Drosophila melanogaster: one gene and its partner. The protein of the gene in region 1 interacts with the protein of each later gene in a pairwise test. Each region holds a gene or a part of one and is shown in the gene's direction. Other genes may lie near its edges. The genes, in order: Gapdh2 and CG11961.

Region 1 (3,910 bases):
GGTTAGGAAGTCATCCTGGGATGTTAGCATAAAAGGCAATAACCCCACAAACTCGAAGGACAGTAAGACTTCCACAACATTGGCAGGTGTTTTATTCACTTTCAGGGATACTTTTCTAATCGGATCCTTTTTTTCGGTAATGTATAAATCTAGAAGTCATCTTTCAATGGATCTTAATGGTAAGATGTAAGCATTGTTTTTGACTTTGCTGCAATAATTTAGCACCAAGCTGAAATACATTTATCGTTTCAACAATATAAAGATGAGAGGTTAAAAAACAAGTGAAATGTTTGCTTATCAGTAAAACCGATGACTCACTGAAAAGGAACGAACTTTTTTGCCCAGCCCAAGTATTAATAAATAAACATGACGCACTAAAATATTTAATACTTATTCGAGAAATAATTTATAAAATGTAAAAGATAAGGCAACAGAAATGTTGAGTTCTTGTCAAATTGCATATTTCAACATTTTAATGTTGGCGCGCTTATTTGAATTTTCACTGCTATGTTCATAATTAAGGGTTGCACTGAAAACAAATCGATAAATATATAAAAAGAATGAAAAGAATAAAAAGAATGTTAAATGATTACAATATCGATTATTCAGTTTGGGGAAGGAGAAATGATTAATTTGCAGATACCTTTTTTTTTACTACAAATGATTGTATGAATAAAATACTCCCAAATTAATTGATTTTGATTATATATCGTTCGTATACATATGTTTTAATATTTATATAAACGGGATCTGCTGATTTTAAGAACATATGTATATACATGTTTATATATAATAAAAAAAGGTAAATGAATTCTGCGTGACTCAAAAGGTCACATTCACTTAGTTTTCATCATAAAGTTATACAATTTCGTTGTTATGGGTACATGGAATTTTGTGACTAACACTATTTATTACCATTAGCGTTTAAAATTCATGAAATTTGGATGCCTACTTGAGCTGTCAGGTGTTTTTCATTTTAACAATGGGATGACAACAGCACAATTGCTTAAATGAAATCATCAAAACGGATAATTTAATTACTTAGACAATTATTTCATCTAATATTGTAGTTATGCATAGAAGATATATACATATTTACATGTATATGTATCTTTGTACATATGTACATGTATTGTACAGATTAATGTCACGTACCGGCGAAACTTCAATTTGCTCAGAATATGACCTCTAAATTTTAATATTAATGAAATTGATGAATATGTATTTATGTGGGGATGTTAGGATTTTTCCATTTGCATTTACTTATGTACATATTTATGTACAATATAACCAATTGATGTTCATCAGACGTGCTCATATATGTGTATGTTTCGTGTGCCTATATATGCACGTATGTAATTGCCGGCAACTAAGCTCACAAGAAAGCTCAACTTCCGTCAACAAAATTGAGCAGGTGAAATGGCCATAAAAATATCCCAATAAACATTTGTCCGTATAAATTAAAAAATCCATATACTTTATAGGTCACTTTAACTGTCTAAGATCAGAAGTTTTTAAAGTTAAGCGTATCTTATGTACATATCTACTTATTATATTCATATAATGATGCTTGCAAAAAGTCTATTGGGTAGCATTGAGCTTTCACGTTACTGAGAGCAAAAGCTCTTTTTTATTGCGGTAGCCGCTCTCGAGCTTGACATGCACGTCCTTCATCTGACTTTGAACAATTTTTCGCCCGAGTTTTCGCCCATAGAAAGCGCTCAAAATTTCTCAGCCATCACAGTCGATTCCTTGCAAGCAAGCCGATAGGTAGTGTTTCCCTCAATTCCGCGGAAAACTTTCCAAGTACTAACTGCTTTACATATACATACATTACTTTCCAGATAAACAAAAAGTTAACCATGTCGAAGATTGGTATCAATGGATTTGGTCGCATCGGCCGCTTGGTTCTCCGCGCCGCCATTGATAAGGGCGCCAACGTTGTGGCCGTCAACGATCCCTTCATCGATGTGAACTACATGGTCTACCTGTTCAAGTTCGATTCGACCCACGGACGTTTTAAGGGCACCGTTGCCGCCGAGGGCGGTTTCCTGGTGGTCAACGGCCAGAAGATCACCGTCTTCAGCGAACGCGACCCGGCCAACATCAACTGGGCCAGCGCTGGTGCCGAATACATCGTGGAGTCCACTGGCGTGTTCACCACCATCGACAAGGCATCCACTCACTTGAAGGGCGGTGCCAAGAAGGTTATCATCTCGGCCCCATCCGCCGATGCTCCCATGTTCGTTTGCGGCGTCAACTTGGATGCCTACAAGCCCGACATGAAGGTGGTCTCCAACGCATCGTGCACCACCAACTGCTTGGCTCCTCTGGCCAAGGTGATCAACGACAACTTCGAGATCGTCGAGGGTCTGATGACCACCGTTCATGCCACCACCGCTACCCAGAAGACCGTCGATGGACCTTCCGGCAAGTTGTGGCGTGATGGACGTGGCGCTGCCCAGAACATCATTCCAGCTTCCACTGGAGCTGCCAAGGCCGTGGGCAAGGTTATCCCCGCCCTCAACGGTAAGCTCACCGGAATGGCATTCCGTGTGCCCACTCCCAACGTTTCCGTGGTCGATTTGACCGTGCGCTTGGGCAAGGGTGCGTCCTATGATGAAATTAAGGCCAAGGTTCAGGAGGCCGCCAACGGACCCCTGAAGGGTATCCTGGGATACACCGATGAGGAGGTCGTTTCTACCGATTTCCTCAGCGACACCCACTCGTCGGTGTTCGATGCCAAGGCTGGCATTTCGCTAAACGACAAGTTCGTGAAGCTGATCTCTTGGTACGACAACGAGTTTGGCTACTCCAACCGCGTCATCGACCTGATCAAGTACATGCAGAGCAAGGATTAAATGTGGAACACCAAGAACACTACCCACCCACACTCTACGTAAAAGTTAAAGATTAGGGCGCGGTAGAATGGGGTGAGACACTTCAGAAACGGCCTGAAAATGGCATCACATAACTTATATATATATTGCTCCCCGGTGGAGCATCACCTACATACATATGCGCTATGCTCTGAAATGCTACTGTTTTCGCTCTTCAATTACCAGCCACATTGGAAAATTATTAATATAATACATCCATTATACACATAAATATGTTTACTGTTGTTGAATAAAGTTTCACTCTGTGTGTAGTTTTAAAAATGCCGACTCATAAGCATTTAAATATTTATTTTTGCCTTTTTATTTGGTATAAACCGTTGAAATACCTAAAATAGTATGAGTATTACTTTAAATTGTTTTTTTCATTTGCTATATTTGGAAGTAATATATATATAACAGAAATGTGTCGATATTTTTTTTAAGTCGATTGGTTTTTGAATGATTACATAACTTGTTAAAGTTTTCAAATAATTTTAAATGAGCCTGATTCTATGGTATTGTTATCGGCAAAAATCGGGCTTTTACAGATTTCGATAAGAGCGACCTTAAACCCTTCAGTTGAAGCAATGTATAAACAGAAGTTATCGATATTTGGAGAGACTAACGGTGGCATATTGTCTGTGTAAGCCTGGCTTTTTGGATACATTTCTGAGAAAATAATGTTTCTCTGCCGATTTATATTTGCATAATTGGCAAATATAATCAAATATTTTGGTTGACTGCATCATTTCAACAGCACTTCACCATTATATCGTTATCGATATTTAATCGCTTGCTATACCGTCTTTTCGATTAATTTTCTCACACGGGCACACTAATTTTCAGAACATTTTAATACTGGCATGTAAATAAAATAATCAATTGATGAAACCTTAAAATAAAATGTGAATTATTCAACATGCAGTAGCAACAAACGGACACAAATCAGCATAAGAGTTCAAGACTTCTGGTTCTTGATGAATGTAAATGAAAGTTACCGAGTGAAAACGCCATAACTTGTGTAAAACTGA
Region 2 (7,614 bases), on another chromosome or scaffold:
TTTTTTATTAAAAATTATATAATTTTATTTTTAGCTAGGCAAACGGAACAGGCAGAGAGATAGACGCACACATACACACACGCGCGCACATAGATACGCGGCCCCTTTCTTTACTCCAAGCACATTTTTAGTACCGTTAGGGATCCCACTTTGAGTCCTAATTTATTTTTTTTTTTCGTTCTGCTTAAATTTGTTCCTAGGCAGCGAGCACGACCAAAAGCTTCGAGCGTTGAAACGCGACTGAGACTTTAGTAACAGCGGGACAAGCGGCTCAACTGAACGATGGAGAAAGTGGGATAGAGAGAGAGAGAGAGAGGAAGAGAGAGAGTGGGTGGAGCGGCACCACCAAAATGAACGTGCTAGGAAGATAGGCGTTGAATGGGTGGTGATGGTGGGTACGCAAAGCACGAGGACGCGCGAATTTGTGTCGAAAAGGCGGGCGAAGAAGCAGCTGACACATATTTCGCTTTGTTTTGGTTGTGTCCCCAAACCGGCAATTGCTCTCACACGCATGCGTACTTTCTGCGTTCTCTCGCTTTCCGTTCGACTAAAACTAGCCACAAAAGACGGCCAAAACTAGCTGGTCAGTGTTTTCGTAGCTCTGATTGTGAAACTCTCACGGAATTCCCATACACTTGTTCCTGGGCGTTCATTCTATCGATTATCCTTTCGGTCCGTGTTCCGGTGAACGCTTTGTTTACGAATTTCAGTGCCACAAGGCATCAATGAAGAAGTGAGTGCGGGAGTCAGTGTATTAGTGAGTGAATGAATTCGCGAGAGCAATTGGCACACACACACAAACACACATAGGTTACACCCACTCGGGCATTCCTTATTTAGGTTGAATGACACTGCGCCTAAGTGCCCCTTCCTGCACCTCCCCCGCCTTTATTGCATTTCCCGTTTTATGGCACATGTTTTCCACGTTGTCCTCAATTCCAAACGGGATGCTCCCGCTGCATGCGTGTGTGTGCCTGTGCTTTTCACGTCATCGTTTTCTAATGCACATGCAGGCCAGAAAGAGAGAGAGACAGGCATGAGGGCGCATAACTGTAAATGAGCAAATTTACCGCTTTTAGTTGTGCCCTATCTTTTTGTTCGGCTGTTCGGTCGTTTTGCTGGCCAGTGTGAAATTGTTTCCAAATTGCCGCCCGAAAGTATGCAATTACGAATCAGATAAGAACCGCTTGGGTGCGATAGACAATCGAAACGATTGCTATCTTTATCGAATGTCGCACACAATTATTTTGTTTACCACACACACACACATTTGCCCAAGTAAATACGAAAATAATGCGCTGTGTGAAAAGTGTAAATATTAGCAACTAAGAACTGTCAACAAAACGCTGACCATTATTTTGAATAATTCAGTTAGTGCCGCAGCGCTTTGCGCTCGAGCGGTATTAAAACCGCGCTTCGGAAACTTTGATCCCACCATTCGGCGGCTAAAACTCGGAGCGGCAAAAACAACAAGGCCGGTTTCGCTACAATATAGATACGGGAAGAAGAAGAGCGCCTCGGAATGAGCAGCGAAACGGAGGAGAAAAGATCGAAGGTACGGATGCAGATTTAGAATGCAAAGTGCACTTAGAAAAATATAATGCAGATGTCAGTGAATTCATAAAATCGTTGCAAGTAAAAAACCATTCAGCCATTATTACTATGATAAATACAGATTGATATACCTATTTTTTCAATGTGTAAAAAAAGATAAGATGTGGGCTTGCACTCATAATGCTGCTGCTCTAATTAATTGATATATATCGACTTGGTCAAATTCAGAATTATGAATTATGAATCCAAGCGGAAGTTATGTAGGCATTTCTCGCAGTCCACTGTTAATGAAAATCCAGCCCCCCACAACCCCCTGTACCCTGAGTAGCCATAAACATATTTCGAACTATTGTATACGGTTCGTACGACGAACCGATAGATAAGAAACATTGTATCGTGGGCGAGAGAATAAAAAAGTTATTTGTCTCTGTGAGGGAATTTGAGACCGGTACGTTAGGATAATCAATGCAGTGGAACGTTCAGTAGAGCGTTGGACGCCGACGCGATCGGTTCATTGGGAGATCTTGACCAAAATACCGGGCATCGTTATCCGGAAACATGAGTGGCAGTGAGAAGAATGTACGGCGTCGCGTCATTACGCCGACCAACGATCCTACGAATGTGGATCCATTGCTACGACCCCGCGGTTCCCAGCAGTATGAGGTAAGCACCCACTTTGGGTCCTTGATTAGATTGCTCTTCAATTGGGTGTGGTATGTGCTAATCACCGCCGATCCAAACAGCCAAACAGCAACATGAGCATTACCCATGGTTGAGTTCCAAGGGAATCGACTTTTTTTTGGCGGCATGTACTTATCAGGGAAAAGCCGATAACTAACGAACAGTGGATACCCTTGAGATAGCAGCGCACCATTTCGCCCTAGTTGCACCCTCGGTTTATCTATCTGTCTGGCCTTAGTTTAGTGGAGCAGTTCCCAACACAAGAAGTTATACTATCCACCTGTGACCAATTCGATTTTCGGTGGCAACAGGTTTTGCAACTGGCGGGCTGACCAGCGATAAGATAACCGTTGATGGATTAAATCTAACTTTCGACTTGATACCTATAGTCGATTCCAATTTCGAAATTGACTCATGTCTGCGGCCAGACGTAGGTGTATCTAACTACGAAGTTTTGGGTAATATCCATTCGGTGTGAATAAAACCGTGCCGAAAATTAGATATCTTTAGGGGGCATTGGCAAGATTAAAAGATATACAATATGTATGTACATGCCTAGTTTTCGGAAGTCCCGTATAAGATAAGTGACCTAAAGCCAATACTGACATTGCAGGCATATTAAGTTGTTTGAATTTAATTGAATTAATCTTTATCCGCTTCATTTCAGGCTCAGCCCAATGGCTGTGAGCGAGCATTCGTCCAGGGAAACAAGATTAAGTGGTTCTGGGCACCCGCCTTCTTTGGATTCTGGCTGCTGCTCTATGTGACCATCTCGATACCCGCCTGCCACCGCCTTCCCCGCCCACTGACCATTCAGGATGAGGAAACGCATCCCGACCAGTTCATCGCCGAGCGCGCAGAGAAAAATCTACGGGAGCTAGTGAGCCTGGGACCCCGAGTGGTGGGCAGTCGACAGAATGAGATGGCCGCTTTGAAGATGCTCTCCCAGAAGATGCAAAAAATTCGATCCGGCACTGCCAACGATATTGAAGTGGATGTTCAGGTGGCATCCGGTAGCTATGTTCACTGGTCCATGGTCAATATGTACCAGAGCATTCAGAATATTGTCGTTAAGATCAGTCCCAAGAACACGAACAGCACTACTTATCTTCTGGTAAACAGTCACTATGATTCCGTGCCGGCGGGACCTGGTGCTGGTGATGATGGTTCCATGGTGGCCACTATGATGGAGGTACTCCGTGTGCTGGCCAAGTCCGATAAGCCACTAAAGAACCCTGTGGTATTCCTGTTCAATGGTGCCGAGGAAAATCCCCTTCAGGCCTCGCATGCCTTCATCACCCAGCACAAGTGGGCCAAATATTGCAAGTAGGTCAAATGAGTGCTTTAAATTTTGTCGAATTTATCTTATACTTTCATTTATCCTTTACAGAGCCCTTATCAATCTCGATTCCTGCGGAAATGGCGGTCGAGAGATCCTCTTCCAATCGGGACCCAATCATCCCTGGCTAATGAAGAACTACCGACGTGCCATCAAGCACCCGTATGCTTCTACAATGGGCGAGGAGCTGTTCCAGCACAATTTCATTCCCTCTGACACGGACTTCCGCATTTTCCGTGACCATGGATCGGTTCCCGGCTTGGATATGGCCTACACCTACAACGGATTTGTCTACCACACGCGACACGACAAGGCAGAGATCTTTCCCAGGGGTAGTTTCCAGCATACTGGCGATAATCTGCTTGCTTTGGTCCGACAGATTGCAAACTCTCCGGAGATTGAGAATTCAGCGGTAACATGGCTGATACAGATCTTAATGATAAATTACTAATTGCCTTTTTCTTTTTTCAGAAATACGCCAAAGGTCACACCATCTATTTCGATGTTATGGGTTGGTTTCTGGTTTTCTACACCGAAACCGAAGGCGTTATCTTGAACGTCATCGTCTCCTTGGTATCCATCGGGATTTGTGGCTACGCTTTTAAGCTGATGTCGGTCAACTCGGGCATAAAGCTCGAAAAGATCCTCAAGAAGGTGGGGCACACACTCCTCGTACAGATTCTATCTGTTGTTGTGGGAGCCATCCTGCCAGTTTTGCTCGGTCTGTTCATGGATGCGGTGCATTTGCCTCTGTCGTGGTTCTCGAACTCCTGGCTCATCCTGGGTCTCTACTTCACCACTTTCTTCTTCGGTTTGGCCATAGTGCCTGCCTTGTACTTCCACTGGACCAAGCGTGTATGTATAGTTTGGTATGATTTATTGGTTGACTAAAGCTAAATCTTTTTTCAGGATAAGCTTCCCATTGGTCAGCGGGTTCAGCTTTTGCTGCACTGCCACTGCCTACTTTTATCTGTTCTCACCCTGATCTTCACCATCTGTGGAATTCGCTCTGTTTTTGTTTTGATGCTCAGTTGCTTGTTCTATACAGTGGGCTTGATCATTAATATTGCCACCAAACTGCACACCAAAGGTGAGTTGTATTTATAAGAGTATGCTTAGTTTGATTTTTAATATGTCTTTTTATTCCCAATAGATGTCGCATGGGTCATTCCGCACATTGTTTGCACTGTGCCACCATTTGTATTCTTTGCATATTTCTCGCACGGATTCTTCACCACGTTCATTCCAATGTTTGGTCGTTTTGGAGAGAACCTTAATCCGGATTTGGCGGTGGCTGTTTTCAGTGTCGCTGTGGGCTTCCTCTGCTGCGGTTTCATTATCCCTGTTCTGCAGTTGTTCAACAAATCGAAGACCATCATCTGCGGCCTGATGGGCATCACGTTATTGTGCTTCATTATTGCAATGACACCAATTGGATTCCCCTATCGCCCAGAAACGAATGTCCAGCGTTTCGCTGTCCTGGTAAGAAACTACAAAGTTATATTGTATTGATAAGTAAAAAGGATTTCCTTTTTTTAGCACACCAAGCGTACCTTCCACGACGCTCAAAACAAAGTGCGCCGTCAGGAATCTGGTTACTTCATTATGCCCCAGGACAGACGCACTTACACCGTGAAAAGTAAGGTGGACTAATTATATTGAAAGGTTAATTCATGGAATTTTTTTTGGCCTTTTAAGATGCTGTTATCAACATGACACTGGCCCAAAGAATTGGATCCGATTGCGATAAGGAAATTAATTGCGGATTGCCCCTATATAATCAGCGTTGGCACAAGACCAGGTTAGTTTCCAACTCAAAAAGTTAGTATGAATTAGTAAACTAATACATTTGAGTCCTTATAGAAAGAACAGTTTATGGATACCCGCATCGGAACCTGTTCTTGGCGAGAATGTGCCAACCGTTTTATTGCTCTCCAAGAATACAGTGTCGCCCACCAAAATTCGCTATGAAATGCAGCTAAGTGGACCCAATCACATGGCCCTCTTTATACAGCCCTTGAACGGAGCAAAGATGATGGACTGGTCCTTCCATCAGGTAATTATTAAAGTCACATAAGTCTGAATTCAATGTTAATATCTCAACAACTACAGGCACCCTTACGTCTGAGCTTTGAGCCACCTTACTTCATCTACTTCTCGTGGGGTGTCAATGGAGATCCACTTAAATTCTGGCTAGAACTAGAGGTAGGTTATGGAAAACTCGCAAAAGTAATTTGTCTATACATATATTTTCCACATCGACCAGAAACCCAACGGAAATTGGAACTCTTCTACTCTGGAACTTGGGCTCGGAGGCCATTGGAACCATCACAAGGAACTAATAACGCCTGACTTTAAGAAGTTCCTCGACAGTTTCCCCCATTATGTGGATGCCACACCCTGGCCAGCTTCATTCGAGAGCCGGATCTTCTAGAGAAGCTATCTAATGTATACATTTTTGTACCTTCGTAAAATAAATATCGTAAGAACTTTGTTCTTGAGATATGAAAAACCATAATCATTGATAAGCGTCAGTTATATTGGGCTGTTCATTTATCAATAATTAATAATAACTAATCCCCTAAGCTATGCGGCCGATATCAAAGTGTTGCGATTGTATATCGCCAATTGAAAGTTACATAATTCCTAAACGTAGAATGTATTTTCTACATGATATGAATGTAGAAATGAGGACTGTTCTACCAAGAAGAGTGTATGTACTTTCGGTGTCCGTAAAATGAATGTCCAAAATTGGTATTAACTCGAATTTTATGGCCTCGTCGGGAAATAATCGGCCATAGATTTAGAATTTATGGTCCAGAGTTTAGCCAACTTGTGTCCCACGCAAAAATATAAATGGCGAAATCGCACATCGCCCCCAAAAAAATAGAGTATTTTTCATAATGTCCATTCACGGAAAGTGTGATGCAGACTGATTTTAGATTGCCAGATTAGGATTTGATAATTTAATATGTCCGAATGCTTATCAGCATGAATAGTTGAACATTTCCGAATGATTATCATTGAGGTAAACACAAATTTAATAAACGTGTGACCAAAATTTTCGTTTAGCCTGTAATGTTCACAGTAGTAAATCATGAGCTGTCCTATAGTACGTCCAGCTTAGACATATTTATTAGTATTTAGTCCCGCTATAAAAAAAAAACCTAAGGCAATAAGAAACAACCAGTGCCAGACAGGTATTCTTATCTGAGCCAAAAATCTAATATACAGCACCAAAAAAATGGTTTAAATTTATTTTGGGTCTGTGGGGTGGTTTACCACCAAGTCATTTAATTCATGAATTTTAATGCCACTTGTTGCATTGTCTTTAATTATTACTTAGTTATTAATGTTACCTAAATTGTACAAGAAAATGTGTTGAACTACTATTAAATGTATAATTCTATTTAATTTGTGTTCTTATCTAACTTACACGTTGTTAATTTATGTGATTCGATAACACGGTCCGTACTTCCCCAAATTAAAGAGAGCAAGCAAATCTAAATTATTTTATGTACGTTTTATGTAGATTTTTTTAGATTTTGGACCCCACCGAAAGATCTCCGCCGAACGTGAGTCCTAATCGCGTTAACAACGGTTCCATAAAAAAGTTATAAAGAGAAAATGCTTCTGGTATCGCCTATCGCTGGATGTAATCGTTTTATGCGCCGAAATCGACGATTATAATCATAATATTTAATTATTATCGCTGCCATGGACGCGATAAGAAATCTAACGCACCGGAGCTGGGCCCTACTTAATTCTTGGGAACCAGCCTGGAGCTTCTTAGTTGCCCAACGGCTGGGCCCTGGTACGGTTGTATTTCATAGTTGGTGATTCCGGTACGAGTCGCGTGTGATCTGAAGGTTAGTGCCTATATGCCTTGCCATATTTCACCAAAGTGATTGTGTTCCTTTAAAATCTAAGAATTGCTTTTGAAAATGTGATAGGCTTGCAAAAATCAATGGATTCGTTACGAAGTGATATAATATGCCGAACAAAAGAGCCTAGTTTCCTGCGCTCTCAAACGAGTATCC

Evidence for each region.
Region 2: the proteins of Gapdh2 (region 1) and CG11961 interact in a two-hybrid assay, tested with the Drosophila melanogaster proteins (one large-scale study listed by BioGRID).

Annotation. Positions count from the first base shown.
Region 1 is NC_004354.4:15,866,474-15,870,383, forward strand, and holds Gapdh2 (glyceraldehyde 3 phosphate dehydrogenase 2), read left to right. Parts: upstream 1-1,671; 5' UTR 1,672-1,770; intron 1,771-1,844; 5' UTR 1,845-1,862; coding exon 1,863-2,861; 3' UTR 2,862-3,188; downstream 3,189-3,910.
Region 2 is NT_033778.4:19,356,284-19,363,897, forward strand, and holds CG11961 (uncharacterized protein), read left to right. Parts: upstream 1-2,032; 5' UTR 2,033-2,112; coding exon 2,113-2,217; intron 2,218-2,902; coding exon 2,903-3,561; intron 3,562-3,625; coding exon 3,626-3,986; intron 3,987-4,045; coding exon 4,046-4,429; intron 4,430-4,483; coding exon 4,484-4,664; intron 4,665-4,727; coding exon 4,728-5,056; intron 5,057-5,113; coding exon 5,114-5,213; intron 5,214-5,272; coding exon 5,273-5,375; intron 5,376-5,437; coding exon 5,438-5,630; intron 5,631-5,686; coding exon 5,687-5,779; intron 5,780-5,840; coding exon 5,841-6,008; 3' UTR 6,009-6,841; downstream 6,842-7,614.